Linked DNA regions of Drosophila melanogaster. The protein of the gene in region 1 interacts with the protein of each later gene in a pairwise test. Each region holds a gene or a part of one and is shown in the gene's direction. Other genes may lie near its edges.

Region 1 (6,781 bases):
AACCGTTGCATCGAGCTCCTCCGTGCGCGGATCGAATGCGCCTCAACGCGTCACATTGCCAGGCGTTCCCAGCGGCCCAGAGTGGGCAGCCAATACCTGCCAGACGATCAGATACTCAGGGAGCGGGAGAAAGCGGATGTGTACAAGAAGAACAAGCGACGCTCCATGTGGGAGCAGGACGAGGGCCACGGACGCATCTCGGTCGGGGACGATCAGGAACGCTTCGATAACGAGCAGTACCATCCGCGCGAACTGGAGAAGCGCAAGTACGAGTGCACCTGGGTTAATTTCCCGGACAGTGTGGCGACCAAACGAAATCGTAGACGGGACTTTCTGGAGTCGATGGAAACTGAGGCTCCTCGACGCCGCCGAGCCCAGGTGCCTATTTTTTGGAATATTTCAAACAAAAATCAATTTGAAATAATCTTTTTTGCAGGAAGAAAGACCGAGTACGGCAAAGCCATGTGACGACGAGGCCCGTGCCTTTATCAACCAATGGGACACCAATGCGGCGATGATCCAACGCAACAAATTTGCTCGTGCCACCGATAGCTGTCCACCACCCATTGTATCTCTCCGGTTGTCAAACGCCTACAGCACCCGAAAACGTCAGTTCTTATTCTAAACCGTTTATATTTGACAGTTGTATTCGCATCAGAAATTCTAGCAATCGCTCATTCTTGTAGCCTGATCAAATTGATAGTGTCGAAGGCATCAGATTTTAAAGCGTCCAAATCCGAAAATGTAACTGTAAAAATGTAACACATCTGCACTAGATGTGATATTTGTTACTAATAAAATATTTAAGTGTATTTGTCTTCGTCAAAAGCGGAGAGGGAATTTGAGAAGTTCATCACAGCTTGGCTAAAATTGGTCTCAGAGACTTAATAAGAACTATTTCTTACAGCTTTTTACCAATGCTTATTATTTTTATCAACTTTTGGTGAAATAAAAAAAAAAATTTTTTTTTTTCTATTTTCACATTTTTTATAAGGGGTAACAACGTCTATTTTTTTCAAAAAACGTCAAAAAAATAAAATTACCAAATTTGAACTCCAACCAATTAAGGGCTTAATTACAAGTTCATCGAGATATGTCATTCGATATTTTCCAACGCTTTTGACAAAAAATCTGATAATTATTTGACAAAAAATTACAAAAACTACTTCTGTCTAATTGAATAAAAGTGAATTCTTTCTATCCAAATAACAAAGAAATAAATAAAAAACGTTCCCATGTTTCAAATCCCATATTTCGGTCAAAATGGTTTGTGTCGGGACTGGAGATTTACCCAAGCTTACCACCGCTCCATAATTGTTTACGCACAATTCTTTAGTATATATCTCCGAGTGGAATGATATATTTTTGTAACGGCCATTCCGCGGTCACACTTAATATCACGTTCAATTGTTTATTATTCGGCGGTTGGGATTTAATTGTTTTTCGGCGATGGCGCTTCTCAGAAACGCGTCCCAGAGCTTCTTGGGCAGTTTCCGGCGCTTTGCCAGCAGCGGATGCACCATCTACAGCCTCAGTTCCGGTCATGTCAAGTGCGGTGTGTCCGTGATCCGTGTCTCCGGGCCGCAAACAAAGAAGGCCCTCCGAGCAATTGTTGCAAACAAAGAATACGAGCCAAAGGCAAGTCAATCGATATAAACGTTTATTATTCCATATATGAGGGGTCGTGACCTGTGCAGTGTATAGTTTTGTTTTCTAGTATCCAAAATATATGTATGCAAATGAAAAGACCTGTTGCTTATTTATATACATTTTGGGAGATGTATCCTGTATAAAAATAAACAAATTTCTCCTAACTTACATATAATTGACTAAATAAATTGAATAATTTCGTGAACTGCTTAATTTGTTATAATTGGCAAGCTGCCAGGTTTTAAGACGAGAGACCTCTATGATAGTGAAACTTATAGTTCCCTTTATAAATACTTTTCCATATAGGCTCGTCAGGCGTATCTGAAATCCTTCTACCATCCCGCCAGCAAAGAGATGATTGACCGTGGGCTCTTACTTTGGTTTCCGGGACCGGCTTCTTTCACTGGCGAGGATTCCTGCGAGTTTCAGGTACACGGGTCCCTGGCAGTCATTGCGGCCATGTTGGATGCTCTGGGAAAAGTGGATGGATTGCGGCCGGCGGAGCCGGGAGAGTTCACAAAGAGAGCGTTCTTTGGTGGCAAACTGGATTTGACAGAGGTGGAGGGATTGGCCGATCTTATCCATGCTGAAACGGAGGCGCAAAGAAAGCAGGTAGACAGTGGACTTAGGGTCTCATAAATTTTGTTTCAAGTCTCTTCTTTCTCCAGGCACTGCTACAAAGCACTGGAGCACTGGCTCGACTCTACGACAACTGGCGCCGTCGACTTATTCGCTGTGCTGCCCATTTGGAGGCCTACATAGACTTCGCCGAAGAGGAGCAAATCGAAGGCGGCATCATCCTGCAACTCGGCAAAGAACTAAAGGCGGTAAAGCGTGAGATTCGCGAGCATTTGAGTGACCAGCGGCAGGGAGAGCTCCTCCGCGACGGAGTCCGCACTGTGATCATTGGAGCACCCAATGTTGGCAAGAGTAGTCTGCTCAATCTCCTCTGCCAGCGATCCGTGTCCATAGTGACGGATCAGGCGGGCACCACAAGGGATATTATAGAAACAATGCACAATTTCGGAGGATACCCGGTGGTATTTTCCGACACAGCCGGATTACGCCGATATACTACGGATAGTATAGAGCAGGAGGGAATGCAGAGAGCCAAGAATTGTCTAGTCCAATCTGATTTGATATTGCTCCTAGCAGAAGCCAAGAACATTGCACAGCTGACGCACGACGACGCAGTTGCTCCGTTTGTAGATAGCTATCTGGGCGAGTTGGATATACCTCTGGACATGTGCTCAGGGAAACGTCTGCAATTGGTGGCCAATAAAACCGACACTTTGACGGATGAGGAGCATCAGCAGCTGGACAAGCTGTCCAACGTGTTAGCCATATCATGCCATAAGCCCGATAAGATGCCCGTGTTTCTGGGATCACTGGAGAAGCAGCTGCAAGAACTGTGCGGAGAACCGCGGGCGGAGAATCCACGCATCACAAACACACGCTACCGTCAGCAACTGGAGCGCTGCATTGAGAACATTGATATTTTTCTACGAGATTACAGACCCGACGTTTACCCGGACATGGCCATAGCCGCCTCCAAGCTGCGCAACTCCGTGCGCTGCATCGAACGCATCACCGGACACATCAGCTGCGAAGATATACTCGACGTGGTCTTCAAGGACTTTTGCATTGGAAAGTGAAGAGATAGTTTATAGTTGTGAGTTGCGAAGATTACACTGCCCATGTTGAGTATTGAATAAAATATTCATTTGTACCCTAGAGTTTTGATAAGCATAATAAATTAACATTTCTGCACGGATAAGAAAGATTGGAATTACATTTATTTCTAAAACCAATCCTTACATTTTCATATAAATATTTTTTTGATCAGAAAAAAGGTTTTTCAAAATTACGTTACTTTTAGAGTGACCTTAACTTTGGAGTTGACCATTCCGCAGTCGATAGCGATATGGGCACACAGTGTGATATTGTTTACGTGTTTTACTCGAAGAGATTTGTTTTTCTTAGAAAAATATGTCATCCTGGATCACAGGACTGGCGGACAAGGCCGAAAACATTTTGAACAAGCTGGACCAAAATGCGGCAACGGCCCTGCAGACAGAGAACGCCACAGGTTCAGCGGATCCCATGCGTAGGAGCATGACGAGCAGCACCCAATCACTGTCCACATCCCTGAAGTCCACTCTGTCGCCAGTGCGGCGCTCGGGGGCCAATAGCTCATCAAGTGTAAAAAGCGATGGCGGGGTCTCCGTGGTCACTAAGGACATGCGCCAAAAGATGACCACGTCGGCCAGTTTCTCCAACAGTCCCGACATATCCGCCAACTCAATGGACACAAATGAATTGGCTGCCTTCAAGATCGCCCTGAATGAAATCACGGCCGAAAGAGATGAACTGCGTCTGCGCTTGGAAGATCTTAATAACGAAACCGAAAAGTTTGATCTGCATCAACACACCCAGGTGCTGGAAGCTCTGGTTAAAAGTCTGTCCGAAGAGCGGGACAAGGCGGTTCATGACTACAATGAGGCCCAGGCAGCTAACATGGCGTATGTGCACTCCATCTCCGAACTGGAAACCAATCTGGCCAAGTTGCAGCAGGAATACATAAGCGCCGCTCACAAATTGCAAATGCAAACAAAGGAAACGGAGCAGCAGCGCCAGGAGCTTCAGGAATACCGTATCAAGGCTCAGCGAGCTCTGCAAGCAAAGGATTCCCTCATCGCAGAGTTGAAGGCGAAGCCCACGGAGGAGGGCGCAGATCCAAACCTGGTGTCCAAGGACAGTGAAACGCGTTTTCTGCAAATTGAACACGAGTCACTTAAGCAAGAACTAGAGCATGCCAACGAGGAACTGCAAAAGGCGCGCTTGCAGCTGGACGATTACGTTTCCCAGGAAAGACAACGACAGGTGGAACTAAGCTCTGCCCGCCAACGCGAGGAAACACTAGCAAAGGAGTTGCGACAGGCAAGGGAACACAGTGTGACCTCCGAATCCGATCAGCGAGTGCTCACGCAGGAACTGGCCTCACTGCGGCAGCAACTTAGTAACCAAATGGCTGCTGCCGCCACTCGACTCCAGGAGCGGGAGCAGCAGCTTCAGCAGATGCGTCAGCGATTGAGCGAGGAAGCCAACACGGGAGCCAAGAGCGATTACGAGACTCGGCTAAAGGCTTTAACCCAATCACTGGTCGAACGTCAAAGTCTTCTGGAAAGAGTTACGAGTGAGAGAAATGCCCTGCGACTACAGCACGAAAAGGCACAGACGCAGCTACAGCAAAACATGCACTTGGTGGAAATGGAGAGCCAAAGGGGCAGCTCCCGCCATACTATGCTCAACAGCACAGATGATGGTAAGTCTAACATTCTGCGAGTACCAGAAATTACATAAATATGAGTTCTACCTAGTCAAAGCACAATTCCCGCTTCTCATGCATCCAAGTCCATTCGATAATCGTGTGGCACGACGCTTCAAGCGAGCCCTTCGCCAGGCGGACTCCATGGGTATTCGGGTGGGAACGTTTCTGCGTCGCTATCCCATGATGCGGGTCTCTGTGATCGTCTACGTGGCCCTACTACATCTGTGGGTCATGTTTGTGCTGCTCTCCACTACACCAAACTAATCGAATCAAATACATTTAGTTGAGCAATTGTTGTATTTCCATAATATTGTATGTATTGTATTTTACGCGCCAAAATTGGATATCTAGTGGTACGAGTATATGTGTCATGTTTGTGGTTGCAACAATTGTATATATCGATATTATACTTGTGTCTCGCACTCGTTCTAAATTCAATATTCAATAAACATCAACTATGTACAGAAATTGCAATTGATTTAACGCTAAAAACATCCAGCAAACAAGTAACAAGACCGAAAAAATTAGCACTACTAAGTTAGGATTAGAACGATTCCTCACAGTTCAAATATTGCATAAAGAATCCATCTACAGATGCTGTAAAATTGTTAAGTAAACGTGAATTAGTTTAACTTCAGTTTAACTCCAGTTGCTGGGCAGAGCTGATAGTTCTAGCTAAGCGGAAGAAAATAGAGAGTATACGCTTTTGGGACGATTCGCGTAAAACATGCGCTATATGCCCCGCAAGTTTTTATATCAGTCATCGGCATGGTAGCTCACATAGACAGCATCGCCTCCGATGCTAATCAGGCACTGGCCCTAAGAATACAAGATTTCAGTATAAAAACTTTAAGGTAAGTAGATCATTGTGTTTGCCTTACCTGATTCTTGTGCTGATTATCGAACAACATAAGTTCGGTGATGTAAAAAGAGACCATGGCATTTCCGCCCAGCGAAGCGATGTGTGCTCTCACCACAGCCAACAGTTCGGTAATGAAGCCATGGACAAATCCGCTGATGCCACCATTTTCCCGGATCGACGTGCTCTCCCGAATAAAGAAAAAGTTTAGGTTGCCCAAATATTTATCTATACGACCACCAGGTATGAAACTTAGTGGCGTCACATCCACTCCATAACGATCTCGCAGCGGAAACTGTCAAGGAAATATAATATTAATATAAAGACATCATTAATATTTAATGTTCTTACATAACGGCTACGTTGAACAGATCCAACGTTCAATGGCTTAACTCCGGTTGAAGGCAATCCCGAAACGAGATTGTTAAGACGTGATGGTGAAGTTTTTCGCATTTTGAATGAGCTCATTCCGAATGGCGGAATAGCGGTGCTGGTTGGCGTGGGTGTGTCCACCATCTGATCCTCGTCCAGCGGAAATATGTAATCCTCCTCTTGCAGCATTCGTTTTCCGTTTAACTCTGGCTGAGATTGAGTGGCGTGCACCGTGCCATCATGATATCCGTTCTGCTGTTGAGGTGCCTGCTGCTGCTGAGCCGGGCGTCCACGTCCGCGGTACTTCATTCTGTTGGCATCGCTTAGGCCCATGGCCATGCCAGTGACTAGCAATTGAATTTGATCCTGCAGAGAACGAAGTAATTTAATCATTCTTGATCAAAGTCCTAGCATTTTCCTTACCGTCTCTGGCAGATCTAGTCGGAAGCGAAGATCGCAGATAGCACAGGGTATCATAGTGCGTAGCTTGAAGTATATGGTCTGCAACAGTCTGGGAAGGCAAATGTTTTTATGTGCTGATCCCAGTATGAAGTTTAGACCTACCTCTG
Region 2 (7,106 bases), on another chromosome or scaffold:
ATGCTTAAGCCTTGCGGGTGGCGGTTAGACTCGCAGGGGATACGCGACGATGGGTGAACGAAAATGCCCTCAGGATGCCCCTCGACTCGCTCCAGAATCATTTGGGTAAAACCAAGCAGGAAGGGACTTTTGATAATCCGGAAGCGGGTGACCGAGCCATCCTGGGAGAGGCTCAGGAATGGATCGATGTCTGTTTCATGATCGTCGTCTGAAACTTGTTTGATCCAGCGGATGGCAACCACCGGCGAGGAGCCTGGCGAAGTGCTGCGCTGCGAGACCGCAACGGGTGTGTCCTGCAAACTGCTCACATCTCGCACTTCCACGCTGCCGTCGTACAGACCAATGGCGAGCAAGGATGGCAAGAATGGCGAGAAGTTTATTGCCGTTACTGGCACATCGTAGTAGTATGCGCGCTCCGGCTCGCCTGGATTTTTAATGCTCCACAGGAAAACGCTGCCGGAGGTCGGTACGTGCTGTGAGGAAAATGAGTACAGTCCGTAGGCTACAGCCAGGATGTCACCATTGCTGCGGCAGAAATCAATGTCGCTTACGGCCTTGCGCTCGTCTTTGCTGGGCTCCGGTACCAGCCGAAAGAGCAAGTTCATCGAGTAGACGTACTCGGCCTCCGCGTTCCAGCGTTCCACCTGGTCAAAGTTACGGAAGCGTCGTAACCCCGCCTCGTTTGTGTTGCTCGAGAGCGTGCGGCCCATGTACATGATGGCGTTGCGAAACTCGGGGCTCCGGAACAGGCGCTCTATCTGGCTGCTGACCTTGTCTTTTTCGGCAACGGCCTCGTCGTCCTCAAAGGTATCCGCATCCTCCGTCTGCGCTAGAGCCGAGGTCAGGTCCTTTACCGAACTCATAGTGGCTGTTGCGAACTCCTTGGTGATATTGTTCAGCGTGTCGTACATCTCAAAGTTGGAAACGTAAGAGCTGACGGTGGCCTTGGTTATGAGGATGGTGTTGACTGCCCGAGTGGTGAAGAGCAGAGTATCTGTCTGAGCGTCATTGTCTGAGCGCCGGCGAATTTTGCCTTTCCCTATTGTCAGATACTCGTAGTTTCGGTTGTCTCGCTCCGCATCGTCGCCCTCGGGCGATCCCTTGGCCACCGTCGTCTGCGTCTGGCTGTGAATTTCGAAGAAGTCAGACTTGCGTAAGGTGATCTTTAAAAAGGACTTGGTATACGGCTTTGGCTCGTACGCCTCTTCGAGAGCCTCAACAGTGCTGTACGGTTCCCAGTTAATAGTTTCATAAAGTATCTAGTGGAGAATGACGATTCCCGCTGGGATGATACAAAAAAGTTTATATAAACTTACCCCGTTCATCAGGTCGTCAATGGACTGCTTATTGCCGCCTATTCCGGCCCGAACACTAGACCGCGTGCGGGATCTGGTCGTGCTCTTCGCTACCATTGTAGTGAAGTTAGTCATTTGGTGCATGACATTTAGGTTGTACTTCATGAACTGCTCCACATAGGTGTCATCTTGGATCGACTTAGGTGTCATATCAACCTCCTCGCCATAGATCTTTTCCAAAACCTAAGGGGAGTTTGCAATTAGTGGTGGTGAGTTTGTAAGTCCTTTGGGTTCACCTTTATCTGAGATCGATACTGCAGGTCGGCAAGTGTTTCCACACTGTAATAGTGCGTAGTATCTTTCTTCTTAGCCTTAGACTCTTCGGCTTGTGTCTGATTAACCACCACGGACTTCTTTTTGAGTTCGTTGTCTAAGTTACTGGACCGCTTTTTGACGCGTGGGGAACGGTGTTCTATGTAAGAAGTGCAAATTAGATCTTCCAGTAATTACTTACTTTAAAGATACTCCCATTTTCTTGGCTAGTGACTGTATTTCTTACTGACGCGGACATGACTTGTATTTTGTTATGTACTCCTCTTGATTTCGTCCAAATTTTTAATGAGTATTTTGTTATTTTATTATTTTGAGGGCACTGGTTTCTGGTAATACATATGTTTTAACTGCTGATATAACTTTTTTTTACCAAACATTAGTTTCATAGTGTACTTATCTTTCTTTAAAGATTTAAAATGTAATCAAAAACTGAAATGCTTGGAAATCAATTTAAAAAATTAATATTGTGTAATATTAAATTTGAAGTTTAAAAACTCCGAATACCACGAATTTTTACCGTACGGTAACGAAAGGGCTTTGTGCTACTTAACAGGAGCACTCTCTTACTCTCCGTTTCCGTGAGCGTTTTTTACCGAGCTCCCCCTGCGCCTGCTCGTTAGATAATACCGAAATAAAGTTGTCAACCAAGCCACCCTCTGTGGGCGAAGGACGACCGGCTGCCTTTTGAGGTTGCATATGGTTGAGTTAGTTAGATTCGGAGTCGCCAGCCATGCAAACCTGGTTCACACTCGCGTCCGTAATCGTGCTTTTGTTTGGGATGTATTCCAATGTGTAGAGATTCGATTTCTCAATGTAGGTCTGCTTATTTTTTGGTACGCTCCTGATATGAAAAAAACTTGCGGCAGCATCAAAATCTAAAAGGCATCTAACCTAACAAGAGCTAACAATTAATGGAGTGTCAAAGTGAAAACCGAGTACCAGAAAACTCAATTAGTAATGTTGCAACGTACCATACTCTGCCCGAATCCCAAACCTCATCGGTTTTGGCCAAGCATCAGCAGCGACAGCTGAAAGAACCGCAACAGCCGCCGCAGTACGTTATAAATTCAGTGGCAATGCACGCCAAGACGACCACGGCGAACTCCATCACGGGCGGCACACTGCATCGGGCAAAAAGTGCGCAGGTACGTCCAGAATGTTATAAATTAAATGGATAGTATCCGAGGAAGTGGATCGAAGTAAAGCGATGTGATCGCGATGCTTATTGGAGGTAAACCTATTTGACAGGAATTGATATTGACTGCCAACTAGGTGCGCTTAATCGGTGGGGAAACTGGATTTATATATTTGTCCATGGATAATTCAAATCATTCATATTGTTTTTCGGTATCTCAAATCGTTCCGTTAAAAACTTTTGTGCTCTGTACAGGTGTAACAAACTCTTACTATTTTTTACATTTACTACATTTCGGCAAGTAAAATCTGTTACAGCCAAATTCATCGAACGACCCTCTTCCACACGCCATTGCCTGGTTCGACGCGAGTGCAAAAACGAATTTTACTCAGCGAAGCTACACAGATACATACAGATTATGGATACGCAGGGTGCGTAACGTAAACTAACGCTGTAATACTGTTTCTGCCGGCTAACCAAGCTGGGACGGCTAAGTGGCTAAATGGCTACAGGACCATCGGGCCTAAATGCAGCTTCATGGAGGCCGCATGCGTGCAGAGAGAATCGGGCGATGTGCCCATGTTATGTAAACATATTCGGCAGGAAGATAGGGCAGGGTGGACCTCGAGTCGTGACGAAGCAAAAGTCAGGGATCTGGCTAAGGCTGCTGGCTGACTGATTCCCGTGGAGAGTAAGGGTCGTCAGGTGGTGGTGGCTTCTGTGCGTCGCGTCATTCATCAGACGCTCCATGATGTGAAACAAATTCGCCTGGGGAGGCATTGGATGCTTAAGTGAGGTGCTAAAGTTAAGCTGCCAACTTCAATGATGTGGTACTTGACCAGCTACCGATTCAGAAATGTATCTTTTGATTTCGCTGTCAGTTCTACCCTTGTATATATGTATGTATGTATGCTTTCAATTTTATTTGCTCGCGAAAGTTGCTATACGATTTTTCAATGCCAATATGAGAACTGCTATCGACCTTGCCGGGGGTATGAACTTTCCGCAATTAAACCTCACCGGGGTGGTTGTTCTCTGTTCTTTTTCCCGCCACCGAACCACGCTTCGTTCTTTTCCTTAAGCAACATGTTTGGTTACTGAGAGCACTTTTTGCTGAATTTTTCCGAGTGCCGTGCTCCAAGAGCAAGTTGCTCGGAAACATCTGGAGGGTTTAATCAATCTTTGGTGTCCTGACGAGCCGCGAACAATGTTTTGTCAAGTACAAAGGAAGGGAAGATTCTTCTGATCTGATCTGTCATGATAATGGGATGCATTGAAAATGGCCCCAAAAAAAAACTGTTAAAGCAGAAGTTCGTAATTCTAAATCATTTTATGACGATATTGATATATATTAATATATATTTAAATTGCAAAAAGCCCCTAATCAACGTTTTGATGTCTTTTATCTGGCTACTGTGGCTGCCTGTACACAATTTAAAATTTTTGCTGGCACATTTTATTATTACAAATGGCACTTTGGAGAATTGTGTACCACGGATTTTGTAAGCGGCGCTCTAATGATTTATGAATTTATTCAATGACAATTGGCAAGTTGAGCCAAAGTGCTTTTAGCTGGTGAAGCGGACCGGTCATTGAGCCTCGGAACCACTTCATTCGTGGCTGGGAATTGAAATGCACAGAGGAAGAGTTTGAGTTCGCAGTAGTTCACAGTTAGTTCACTGGTGGCCGTCATAGGCGCCAACATATTTTGTTCTTGCATTTAAATTATGAGCTCTGCCATTATGCATCAATCGTTAATCCAGCGGCGGTTAAAAGCAGCACAAAAAGAAAAGACAGTATCTATAACCAACACAGAATAAACAACAATAAAGAAAGTGGAAAGCCGGGAAAAACGTGCGCTGAAAAGTGAAGAATTTAAGTGTACGTGTTGAAAATTCCTCAATTTGTTGTCTGAGAATGAGTATAATTATTTGTGTGTTTCCAGCGGTGGCTTTATTCACCGCGTTCTTTTCCCTGCTAAGACATATTCTTTGGTAACGTGACGGTAGCGAAACTATCTGTTATATGCACACAAAAATAACATTGTGCATCCTCAGTTTTAAGAACTACGTTTTCATGCGAAAATGGTTTTTGATTAAATAACTCCTTAAGTTTTATAGGACTTAAATTGGCAAGTCCAAGAAAAATCATGAAATCACACGCGGTTTCAAAAATCACTTAACCCTGTTGACGTAAATATTTTTCCAGTCCCAGCACTGGATATATCTTCTTTTGCAACATTCGTGCTGCACATGGCAAATATGTATATGATTATTGGTGTCTCGAAGAGATATATCCACTCATTCTAGTCGCCCGGTTTCCCACTCCTCTGAACTTAAAATAATTTATGCAGTTTGGGGACAGCTTTTCCTGGGCAGACTAAAGCGTTGCGGCATTCAATAAATTGCTCTTAAATTATGGAAATGCAGAGCAGCCGAGATTTATTGAGAAGTTTCTAGAGGTGGGGAAAATGTGTATTTTTGGATAGGCTGTATATACGTATTGAGTAAATTCCGATAAACTTAATGTGTATGTCTTAAACCGAAAGCATCGTCATTTTGAGATTATCATCGATCTATGAATACTATGAATTTTTCACATCCCAAATTCTGCCTTTATTGCTGACCCATTAATCCAAATATATCAGATGGCGTCGTTTATATCTCATTGCAGATCAATTGGGCTATTTGGTCGGAATCTTTTTGGTTTCGGGGTCGCCCACGTTTGGCCCCGTATTTCAATTTGACGTTTCTTCAGGTTTGGTAACTGCATTGTCTTAGATCACGCTTTGACCTTATAAACTGGAGGAGCAGGGGTCGCTGGAGAGAGATGATGGACAAAGAGAACACACCAAATATGTTAGATTCATAAATTTTCCAAAAACCTAAACACAATGTTTTGAATTAAGCAACGCTGGGAAGTAGACTGCGGAAATAATTCGTAAATTTATCAGACTAATTTGGTCTCGACATATTGAACTTAGCAGCTCGGGCGCTAAGACTTTTCGAGTGTTCTGGTGAAGTGGGGTAAACCGTTCTCAAATCATTTTCATTCAATTATGCTCAAAAACTTGATTAGCCTTCAAAGCTAAGGAATTAAATTTTAATCTTTTGTGCAACAATTCTATAACATAGGTCAAATGTATGATAAATTCTTTTAGAATGCATCAGTGAGATATCTGAGAACTTCCATATTTGATTCTCTTCTCATCTGATGACCTATGTGCACATGTGTATTTTCGTAAATATATAGTTAATAAATGCCCTAACAACATTTATTGATATATTCTTCGAAAAAATCGCAACACCAACAATCGCAACGCAACTATCGTTGTCAGGCAACGAATGGGGAGTTGAGTACAAGTATCCAGTGTTGAGGTAACCGAAATAAAATTTAATCTTATCTAATCTTATCGCTTTTAGACGTATTTTGCTGGCTTTCCCCTCCTTCCTACCTCCTTGCCCAGATATTTGCAAATAAAATGTCAACATGCCGAGCACACTCGATAAGATAAAGCCATCAAGCTATTCCTCCTGCAGTCTTTGTTTTTAGCTGTTTTTCCGTGGAATTATTCGCAGAAAATTGTGCAATCCGCTAAATTTAGATTGTCGGATTGTTTACTAAGAGCCAAGTAGTACCGAAATCAGAAATGAATTTCCCGAAAATATCTACGAGGAGCATGCTAATGGATAATAGCGCCAATAGCATGGGATGATGCCCTGTTGATTGATTTATTTACACGCTGATGATGCTGCCCCATCATCGACCTAGCAAGACAAGAGTTCTTTTTCTGTGACTGACAAATAAGTCGTTAGCTTACGAAACCAGAAACTGGCAACAACCATTGGCCCCAGTGTGGCTCAGTAATTCGATTTTCACCGGACTGATAAGGCGAAAAGAGGGGGACCTTCACCCCGACATACCTTATTCCAGAACTTCCGCCATCTACTTTGACGTCAATGCTTGGTATTGTACTTTCAATTGTACCATCAATTTGATTTCCAAATCAACTGTGCTGCTTTTCGAGTTGCGTTCGTTACCAATGCTAAATATTGCAAATGCTTGATCAAAATCATTGATCAATACGTAAGGTGCATGGAATTTAAACTATTTTCTCATAGGTTGGATAAATAAAACAATTACAATTAGTGCTCTTAGCTCTTTTTTCTTCGAAAGCTTTGTTATTTATCTGTAAACGTTCTACCTCGTCGTTAGCTTGGTTAAATCGCAGACCAAACATTATCTCCGCTTACCGTTTTAATTACCATTTTATAGCAACGCATTCTTTTGGCTTATGACAAAGCCGAAAATTTTCTTTTTTGTTTAACAAGATTTCGCAGTCA
Region 3 (9,952 bases), on another chromosome or scaffold:
TTCGAGTAGTCCCAGGTACTTGTCATCCTGCAGCATAAACTTCTCCGGCGTTTCCGGCGTGCATAGGCGCCTCAGCTTCTGATAGGCGCGCAGCACATCCTGAATGCTCGGCAGGCGATCCGTCAGCTGTAGGAGCTTCAGCTGTCGCCCCGCATCACATTTGCGCACCAGCTCCAGCATCACATTCTCCGATTTGGTGTCCTGCTGCGCAGCCGGCTGCAGTTCAGCTAATCTGACCAGTGCCGCGCTGCTCCCATAGCTATACACCCAGAAGGCAGCTCGTGAATCGCAGAAGGCGCGCGACAGATCCAGGAATCGATCCACGCTGCAGCTCTTCGGTATGACAAAATGCGGCGGCACAGTGTACTTGCCCGCCTGGAGGGGATTCTGCAGCAGCTGGACACTGGCACAGCTAACCACCTGCCACTCGGTGGCGCCGCAGCGTATCAGCTCTCTGGCCCAGTCGTTTTTCGTCGCATACATACTAGTGCCGGATGCGCCCAGTGTCGAATAGTATGGCTCTCGATGAGCATAGGCGAAGCTCAGATCATGCCGCATTGGATAAGCGAAACGCACCAGGGCCGAGGCAATCAGTTTGCCCTGATCACTGGCCCCAAACATCTTCGAATCCTGCTGCTGGAAGGCGAATTTCAGCAGGCGAAAGTTCTTGCACACGATATGCAGGGCGGCGATGCGACCGCTGATGTTCTGCTGCTTGAAGGGCTCCAGTTTTTTGCGCCTGCTCATGCCCGCATGGCTGGCCATGCCTCGCGCCGCCTGCAGCGCACTGGCCGCCCGTCCCAGCTCGGTAATGGTATAGATATGATCGATGTTGTTTAGCGTAATCTCATTGCGGCCCAAATAGGTATTCTCCTGATATAGATCGATCAGTGGCGCTGTGATCGCTTGATTACGCTTTTCATGCAGCGGCACAAAGGCCAGCTTAAAATTGGTGACACTCAACAGTCCGAAGGTGGCCTCTTTGTGATGACGATCCGCTGGCGTACCGGACGCAGATGATATGGCGCTGAGCGTAGAGCCACTGCCTCCGCTGCTGTCCATCGGATCGATCGGTGAGTACATGTAGGCTGGTGCCGATGCCACTATCTGCTCGCCGTGCAGCAGTCGCGGCTTGGCCAGATGGACGTCCCTCAAATCGCTGGGCAGGCACCATTCGTTCGTGTCCGCTGTGGCGCGCAAATCTCCGGGTAGCGGTGCCACATAGCTGGTGAAGGTGTTGCGCTTGTGGTGGTCAGCATTTCCGGCGGATCCCGCTCCCCCGTGGCCGCTGCCACCGCCGCCCGTGGCCATTATTTAGTCGGTGGTACGTTGTTGGAATATTCAATTATTCACCACTTCCTGTCTGGCGGGGAGGGGGGGGGTGGGTGTCGGCGCTAGCTTTACCGTTATTCCGCTGCTGTCTGTGTGCCATGCAAGCAACGAAAGAAAGCGGAATTTGGAGCAAATGAATATATGACAAATGGAAACAGATGAGGTGACAAGTGGAGCAGCAAAACTCGAATTATCGAATCTTTTCCATTCACGTTATTTTCGAGGGGGGGGGGGGGGTGTGATAAGTTTTTATCAGTTGGAACGCAACTTACCGTTCGGATTACTACCTGTGTGTGCGTGTGTGTGCGAGCGATCGCCGTTTTGTTGTTGCCGCTGCCGCTGCTGCTGCTGCGGCTGTTGTCTCTGGATTTTGGATTTTGGTATTTCGGATTTCGAACTTCGAATGCGTTTCGAGCGGGGTCACTCGTTGTTGGGGTCATCCAAGTGCACCATCTGGCGCCTGCACACACGCACCGTCGCTCGCAATGTGCATTTATTTACTTATTTTTATTCGCGCACTTGGTCGCCACAATTCATACGACACACTGACACACACACGCACACACATGCACGCACATGACACTAGGTGCAATCGGTGCTGTGTGACCAGGCGCCGTCGATTCCAGTATTTCGTGAGCGCGTCAAGCAAACGGCGATGACTAAGCGTTGCTCGTGGAACGATGGAAAGTGAAAAGTGTGGCAGTTCTTTTTAATTTTAATTTGCTTTAGAATTTTACATTATTTTATTTATTTAGTTTTTCGTTTGGCGGTGAATTCGAATAAAATAAAAATGATTAATCTTACTATCTACCACGACTTAAGTTTATAGGACTCAAGAAGGTATATAAAATATGCAATTAAAAAGAATTGCAATTGAATAGACTACCTTAAAGGTAATTTCTTTAAGGACATTTCAGAAAATTTTATAGAATAATTATTCACAGTTTTTGAGATAATGGCATTACAGTGGGAACCGCCCATATTCTGAGTTCCAATCGCAAGTGAATAAAAGAAATTTGTTTGTTTTTATTTGATATCTCGTAATAATATATTCGTAATAACTGAGAAATTTTTTTTATTTACTTATCGATATTTGCCTAGGAATAGAAGATAACGATAGTTTCTACGCGCTTTGCAACGGTAAAAAGCAGCTGACCAGAGCTTTTTGCGCTTGCCAAACGCAAAAGCTCCGGAGCGTGTTGTCATAATTGTGTCTGCAAAAGCTCGCTTGATTCCATTCCACGATTGATTCGATTTGCTTTGCTTTTGCTATTCGCGATGTGCCGTGGAAAATGAATCGCATTCCCAGATGCAATTGACCCACTGAACGAGCCCGCTGCCCCGCTGCCCTGCTGCACTGCATCCATTACGGCAACTCCACGGTGAAATCCAGGCAAGACCCGAGAATCGACCACCCCAATCCCCCTCCCCCACAAATCAGCCAGGCACCATGTCAACGGAGAGCAACACGCCCGTGGATCCGAGGGTCCAGGTAGGTACCACCTACACACATACATACATACACCTACATATGCCAAACAACCTAATCCTCGGGAGCCCGCTTAGGTGGAGCTGGAGAAGCTGAACTCCGCCACGGACAACATCAACCGATACGAAGTGGAGCTCGATGTGAGTGGGCGAGTATTGATTTTTCCCCAGTTACCCCAGTTACTTACCATTATTGCTTGCGATCTCTGTCCCAAAACAAACCAAAAAAAAAAGGAGGCCAAGTGCGAATTCAAGCGTTTGCTGGCGGAAAGTGTGGTGAGAATCAAGGCAGCCGCCCACAAGCTGGGCAACTCGATTGATGCCGCCAAGCCGTACTACGAATCTCGCATCTACGCCGCCCAGTTGGCCAAGGAAACGCAATTGGCCGCCGCCAACCACGAGAAGGCCAAGTCCATTCATGCCGCCGCCAAGGAGATGGTCTACCTGGCCGAACAGGGTCTGGGCGAGAAGTCGACGCTGGACACCGCCTGCCAGGAGATGCTTAGCCACGCCGCCAGCAAGGTCAATCAGTCCCAGCTGGAGGTCACCGACACCCGCAATGCCCTCAAGATGTGCCAGCTGAAGCTCGAGGTGGCCAATAACCGGGTCGGCAAGCTCCAGGGTCAGCTTAAGCAAGCGCTTCGGGCATCCAGGTAAAGTTCATGGGGTTCCCTTCAAGGAATACTGCTTAAGAACCAAGAACCAGGTCACAGAAACCTCTTTCCACCGAAAGTCGAATGCTGGTGACCCAGAAACTCCATTCGATTTTGAATCAATTTGTTATAAAGAATTTAGAAACATTACTTTCAAAATATTCAACAGAAAGTTGCAGAAAACTATTTCAAATTTCTGAGATGATCTCTTTTATTTTGCATTAAGAAAACTCCAGAGAATTTGCAATCTTTTAAATCATATATTACTTTGTGAAAAATAACAGTAAGAGTTAGATGAAATATTAGGTTTTGATCTTAAGGCTAATATTTTTTTTTACCAAACTGCAAGTTGACATAGTTTTTAAAACTCACGATGCTTATAAGCAAATATACCTGAAATCCTGAGAAATTTTCGAATTTCGGTCTTTTGCCGAACTTACGCTTTTCTTATTAAACTTGTTTTTTGGTTTACTTTTAAGTTTTATATTTGTTTATTAAATTCTAATTTGTTGTATGCCTTTTTGTTTTGTTTTTTCTTTTTCCGGTGGACTGCCCTGTCTTCCGAACTTTTATCTTCCTTTTAGATTGCAGCTCAAGCGCAATTTACTTTTGTTGAGATATTTTAGCATTATGCACGCTTTGTATTGTACCCTCTGTTCGTGAGTATCGCCGATTTGATTTGGCCACATGTAGGCAGGCACTGCGACTAACCTAATCCGCTGGAATCCTTCCCCGATACCATAGGCCATACTACGAGACCCGGGCGAACTACAATGGACTGCTGAAGGCCCAGAAGACGCGCGTCAACGAGCTGGAGGCGAAGGTCAGTGCGGCGAAGTTAACGTACAACGAGGCGCTTAAGAATCTGGAACAGATTTCGGAGGACATTCACCGTCAGCGACAGCAGCGCAATAATCTGCTCAACTACGAGGCCATGCTGCGTCAGGTGGATGCCGTGGACACGTTGACGGCGGGTCTGGAGAGGAGCTCCTGCGGAACTGCTGCCAATCGCCAGGATCTCGAGGCGAAGGCAGCCGCCGAGGAGCAGAAGCACGTGGAGGCGGAGGCGGAGGAGGAGGAGGAGGAGTACCTGCGCATGCCCGAGCGTCTGGGTCACCACGAGTGCCCCCACCTGCTAACCGATTTCGAGGCGGTGCTCACCTTCCCGCAGAAACTGGCCGGTGGCATGCACAAGTCGGCCAGCACAGGTGCTGCGGCGGATGGGGAAGCCGGATTGGGACCGCTGGGCCTGCACGCTCCATACGAGGTGAAGTCGGGCAGCGGATCTCTGGCATCGGGATCCGCTTCCGTCTCAACTTCGGCTGGCGGTGCTCCGGCGGACAACGACATTGAGCAGTGGACGGAGATCCGGCTATCGCATTCGGATAGCACCAGTTCCAGCTACTCCAATCAGTCGCTGCTCGAGCAGCAGGGCCTGGATTCCACGGGCGGCATGTCCGGCGGCTTGGGTCTCGGCCTGGCCAGGAATCATCTCGATGCAGATGCCCAGTCCCAGCACTCGACCTCGTCGTCCGATGAGCCCAAGCGCAAGGTGACCTGCACGACGATATTCCAGGACGATAGCAGTGCATCCAGCGGCGGTGGCCAGCAGATGAGCCGCAAGCAGAGCCTCAGCCAGTGGTTGTCCCGCTCGAATAGCTTCAAGGGCAGCGGACGTCGCCAGAGCCTCGATCTGCTAATCGATGCCGGCGACAAGGTGAAGGATGTGTTTAGCTACGGCTTCCAGAAGGTGGGACGCAGCCTGGAGCGACGCAACAGCGAATCGGAGATGTCCGGCGATTGTGCAGCCGAAGGTGATGCACTGCTCGGCGGCACAACGGACGCACTGGCGCTGAGCGGTGGCGGAGCATCCGGCGGAACCGGCAGTGCAACCGGTGCAGCAGGTTCCGGTTCAGGATCTGGCGGCGGTGCCGGTGATTTTTTCCTCTTCAGCAGGTCAGTAGACGGTAATGGGGCAAAGGGTGGCGGTCGTAGTCTGCTCAACTCGCTGCACAGCCGCCTTGCCAAGCTCATTTGAACTCAGAACTCAGAAATCGGATTTCGATTCCGAAACCGAATTTGAATTTGAATTTGAATTTGAATTTCGAAAAAATATATGTATACCCGAACCGAAACAGCGATGATCAGCGCAATTTTTGCACCCATCTAATCCAACCAACCAACCAACTACAAAAATGAACCACCAACCAACCAACTGCAAAATTTATAAAATAGTACTCAATTTACTAATTACTAATATGAACGAATTGGCTGCTTTGATTTGGTCTCTGCTTTTGCTACTTTCAATCTCACAAAAATATATCTTTCAAAAAAAAACTAACTGCAACAACTACAACAACAACAGCAACAACAAGAACAACAACAACAACAACAAAAGCACGAACGCACACTCGCTTTAACCTCAAATTCTGTATGTACTGCTCAAAACGCAAAAACCAAAATCGAGAAATATCTGTTGTGTTTTTGTTTCTAAACGTTACCTTTTTCCCACTCATTAATCGCTTTGAATCGCTATTGCCTTCTCCCTCTAAGCCGAGTCATCTTCATATCGCTATCCCTGTCTAATTGAATGTACCTACGTTGAATAGCCTGTACTCTAGTTTTCAAAATTACCACTTTTGAGTTTAGTTGAATTTGAAAGTTATCTTAGGGGATCTGCCCATGAACTTAAATCTTATTATTTCAATTGAAAACTTTTTAATAAGAGTCTTTTGAAATTAGTTTTCCAAGTCTGTGAAGTATATTATACTATAATGGATCATAAGTATATAAAGGTATACACAAAGTGTATTATTTGCCAATTTGTATTATTTTCTTCATTGTTTTTAAATGAACTTGTAGAACTTGGAGTACCGGTTATCTGTAAGTCGGATAACATCGACTTTTTTTTGTTTAAGTGTTGTAATTGCTTACCTGTCCTATCACCCACTGTATATCATATGTGTACCCAATTATCTATCTATCGAATCTCAGTTCTGTGTTTTTCGTTCAGTTTTAACTATGCAAAGCTATTACATACAAAACTAACTAACTTTGCAGATCTTCAGAGCCAAAAGAGTTACTGTCCGATGAGCAGGTTGAGAATTTACTATTAAATCACTTGGTGGATGAGAATGGTGCCATTATAGTGGAGGAACTCAAATCGCCAACAACAACCACAAGCATGTACCACACACACCAACATCAACAGCAACAGCAACAACAACAACAGAATCAGCAGCAGAAGCAACAACAAAAGCAACACCACCAGGCACTAAACGTGGTTGGAGCCTTGCTGTTTTGAGCCGACAGCGAAATACCCTACACTTAGAAAAAAAAATCAACACCAAAACCGCCTCACCATCACACACACACACACACACACACATGAATGCGGTGATGGGAAAAGTCACTTTTAAATGAATAATTGCAATATAGTTCATAGATAATGATCGAAAGTGCCACAAGAAGTATTTAAAGTTTCAAAACTATGCACTATTTTTGAGCATTTTTGTAACGGAATTTTCGAAAGTACCTTTCTTCAATTTAGAAAACTCTTGTTTGGCCGCTGACACAACTTCCCCCATCACTGCACGCATACAAATATGAAAATTATGGCAAAATTTTACTCTATGAGTATTAGGGCATACTTACGATCGATCCAAAAAATCCAATTAGTCAAAAGCGTAGCGTACATATCATTCAAATACAAAAAGACATCAATCCCAGGTGGATCGAAATGGATGCGAGATGATGGATGAGCCAGCAGGAATCTTTTTAAATCCACACCAACGCACTCAGGCACGTGTGGCAAACTATGTTCTAATCCTAAATAAATGATGTGCAATAATTTAGTTTATGTAGTGGCATATACATAATTAAGAAAGTTACATTTTATGCTGTTTACAAAAAGCAAATAACTAAATGCTAGTCAACAAAAACGAAATCAGTTTAATAGTTTTAGTGTGTACGAGCTAAATATTCGGCAAAATGATTTACAAGAAACCCACAAAAATACATAAGAGTGTACAAATAATGGTAAATGTGGTGTGCACTGAAAGAAAACGAGGAGTGCGTTGACAATTCGCACCAAAAGCCGAATCAGCAATATTACTTTATGGAGACATTTGAAATACAAGCGACTTGCAAATTGTCCGCGAATTCTTCGGTTTTCTTCTGTTTGCGCCACTGAGTGTTAAATAATTGCATATATAAATACCTGCATAAAATTATATGAAGTGTATTATACAAAACTGAATGTTTCATTTCGAAAACTGGGCAGTTAGTGAATAAAATGGGGCTGCCATTTTTAATTGGTAACTATAAAGCTTTAGTTTCATTCTTTGTTATAATACGTAAAAAATCAACTTTAAAATTGACTAGTTTGTGTTATGTTATTAAATAATATAGCATTGCCTTTTAACGGTTTTCTATTTTAGAAATTTCATTTGACCACCATTCTTCAGCCTTTTGGTATTTTCTAGTTTAGTATTTCCTACCAAATAAAAAACTTATTCTATGATTATGCCCATTAATTTTTACTCAAATCCCATTTAAAATTTTTGATTAATTGGTGTATATTTTAACTTAATATTAAAAACTATATTCAAAATCAATAAGTAATCTATAATAACACAGTACCTAGAAAACCAGCTGATTGCTGATAATATGTAAGACATGGCGATAGACTTTTGAAAGCTTTTGCATTTCAACTTTTATTCGCCATACAAGTTGCATATAAGTGAACATGTACGCATTAAGATCAGGAACTTTAAAAACCACAACGTTCGATCTCCATCTATCAATTTGAAATTGGTATATATTGTAAATAACGCTGATAATAGGATTTAAAATCACACCAGCTGATATACGATATATCGATTGGGCTATCGCAAGCAGTGGCGCCCCATCTCTACGATAGTGCTTTCGCTGCACGCCGACGAACGCTTCGTGCAACTTCGTGCAGCTTCGTGCCACTCGGTTCGCAGTGGTTCGCTACGAACCGCCGACGGACGCTTTAGTTTGGCTGCAACGCTTTGCTGAGAACAGACCAAATCCGAAGCGAGCGGAGCCGAAGAGAAACCGAACAAACCAAACAAACCAAGCCAAACAATCCGAAGAAATCGCGTCGTGAGTTGTGTGGAAGGAAAAGCGGTTAAATAACGCGGCGATCTTAACTGTTGTTCTTCTTTTTTTTTTTCGGTGCTGGTGTATTTGCACATTCTACTTTTTTTTTCGTTCTATAAAGTGCCACTTTGTGTGTCTCGCTGGTCGTTTGTTTTCTTTTTGTCGTGGGAAATGCGCGCGCGCATTTAAGAAGTGGCAGGAAAACTCCAAACGCAGCTGGTAAAGATTCAAGTTTTCCAAAAAAAAAAAAAAAATAATAATAAAAGAAAACCAACAAGAAAAACCGAAAACCCAAAAAACAACAAAAAACACGAATGCATTGCCAGCAGATGATAAAGAAGGAGAGCAAGAAGAAGAGCGCACCGCGACGCCTTCTGCTGTTGTGGTTGTTGTTGCCGTTCTTGGCCGTGTTTGTTGTTGTCGTTGTTGCCGCTTTTATCTGCATTGTCTTGCGTCTTAACTCGTTTCGCTTTGGCCTTTTCGGCTCTCCTCTCTCCCCGTTTTCCACACTCCCCCACTCTTCTCATCATGCCAATGCGTGTGTGTGTGTGTGTGTGTGTGTGTGCCGTCCATGGATGCGCTTTGCCACTGGCTTTTCCCTCTCTTCTCCACGTTCCTCTGTCTCTTTGCCACACACACGCCTTTTTTCGGCTTACGGCGGCGGCAGCAGCGGCAACAACAACAACAACAAGCTGCCGCAAAAAATCGATAACGGTATTGGCAGCGGCGGCAGCACAAGAAAACGGCAACAACTTCCGCTTCCCCAAAAGTTGCAAAATGTCACCTGCCCCAAGGATTAGATAATCAAAAAGGGCACGCGAAGAGAGAGAGCAAAGAAAAGCAATAACCAAGGGAGAGAGAGAGAGAGAGAGTGTGTGGGAGTGGGCTTAGGCTTGGGCTTGCCACGCCCCCCGCCTTAAAGCGTGGCTGTCACAATTCTTGTTTTAATTAAGAGCCAAACATTCAATTACAACTCGCTTGCTCTCTCACTCGCTCCCTATCGCTGTCTCATTCGCACCCTCTTACTCTCCGCTCAGCCATCTATGCATCTTGGACCTACAACAACAATAATAACAACAACAACAACAAGAGATACAGAACAAGGAGGCAAAAAAGTAACAGAAGAAGAAGAAGCAGCAGCAGTCAACTTGCAACACAATCGTTGTTGCTTTTTGGGTAAGTGTTTTCCTTTGACGAAATTCAGTTTGAGATACTAAGATACTTTTGCATCTCTGAAGTACATATATACGTAGTTATGGATAAGATACACATGAAATCGGGAGAAGGTTGAAACGTTTTTATTCATTTTAATATTTAATACAAATTAGAATATGAGTAAAGTAAATATTATA

The links.
Region 2: the proteins of Golgin84 (region 1) and p130CAS interact in a two-hybrid assay, tested with the Drosophila melanogaster proteins (one large-scale study listed by BioGRID).
Region 3: the proteins of Golgin84 (region 1) and CG14408 interact in a two-hybrid assay, tested with the Drosophila melanogaster proteins (one large-scale study listed by BioGRID).

Annotation. Positions count from the first base shown.
Region 1 is NT_033777.3:24,354,735-24,361,515, reverse strand, and holds Golgin84 (Golgin-84), read left to right. Parts: upstream 1-3,577; 5' UTR 3,578-3,639; coding exon 3,640-4,975; intron 4,976-5,030; coding exon 5,031-5,245; 3' UTR 5,246-5,446; downstream 5,447-6,781. Other genes in the region: CG5762 (uncharacterized protein), read left to right, coding at 1-378, 437-625; CG18528 (uncharacterized protein), read left to right, coding at 1,450-1,638, 1,957-2,262, 2,319-3,305; CG6454 (uncharacterized protein), read right to left, coding at 5,738-5,800, 5,863-6,135, 6,192-6,578, 6,636-6,723, 6,777-6,781. UniProt on the Drosophila melanogaster protein: May be involved in maintaining Golgi structure and in intra-Golgi transport.
Region 2 is NT_037436.4:150,532-157,637, forward strand, and holds the start of p130CAS (p130CAS), read left to right. Parts: upstream 1-2,352; 5' UTR 2,353-2,539; coding exon 2,540-2,773; intron 2,774-7,106. Other genes in the region: Dic61B (dynein intermediate chain at 61B), read right to left, coding at 1-1,259, 1,317-1,538, 1,592-1,741, 1,810-1,866.
Region 3 is NC_004354.4:14,824,613-14,834,564, reverse strand, and holds CG14408 (uncharacterized protein), read left to right. Parts: upstream 1-2,531; 5' UTR 2,532-2,782; coding exon 2,783-2,824; intron 2,825-2,898; coding exon 2,899-2,961; intron 2,962-3,054; coding exon 3,055-3,473; intron 3,474-4,057; coding exon 4,058-4,132; intron 4,133-4,217; coding exon 4,218-5,429; coding exon of another isoform or gene 5,430-5,511; exon of another isoform or gene 5,512-5,904; intron 5,905-6,533; coding exon 6,534-6,777; 3' UTR 6,778-7,698; downstream 7,699-9,952. Other genes in the region: CG14411 (uncharacterized protein), read right to left, coding at 1-1,311.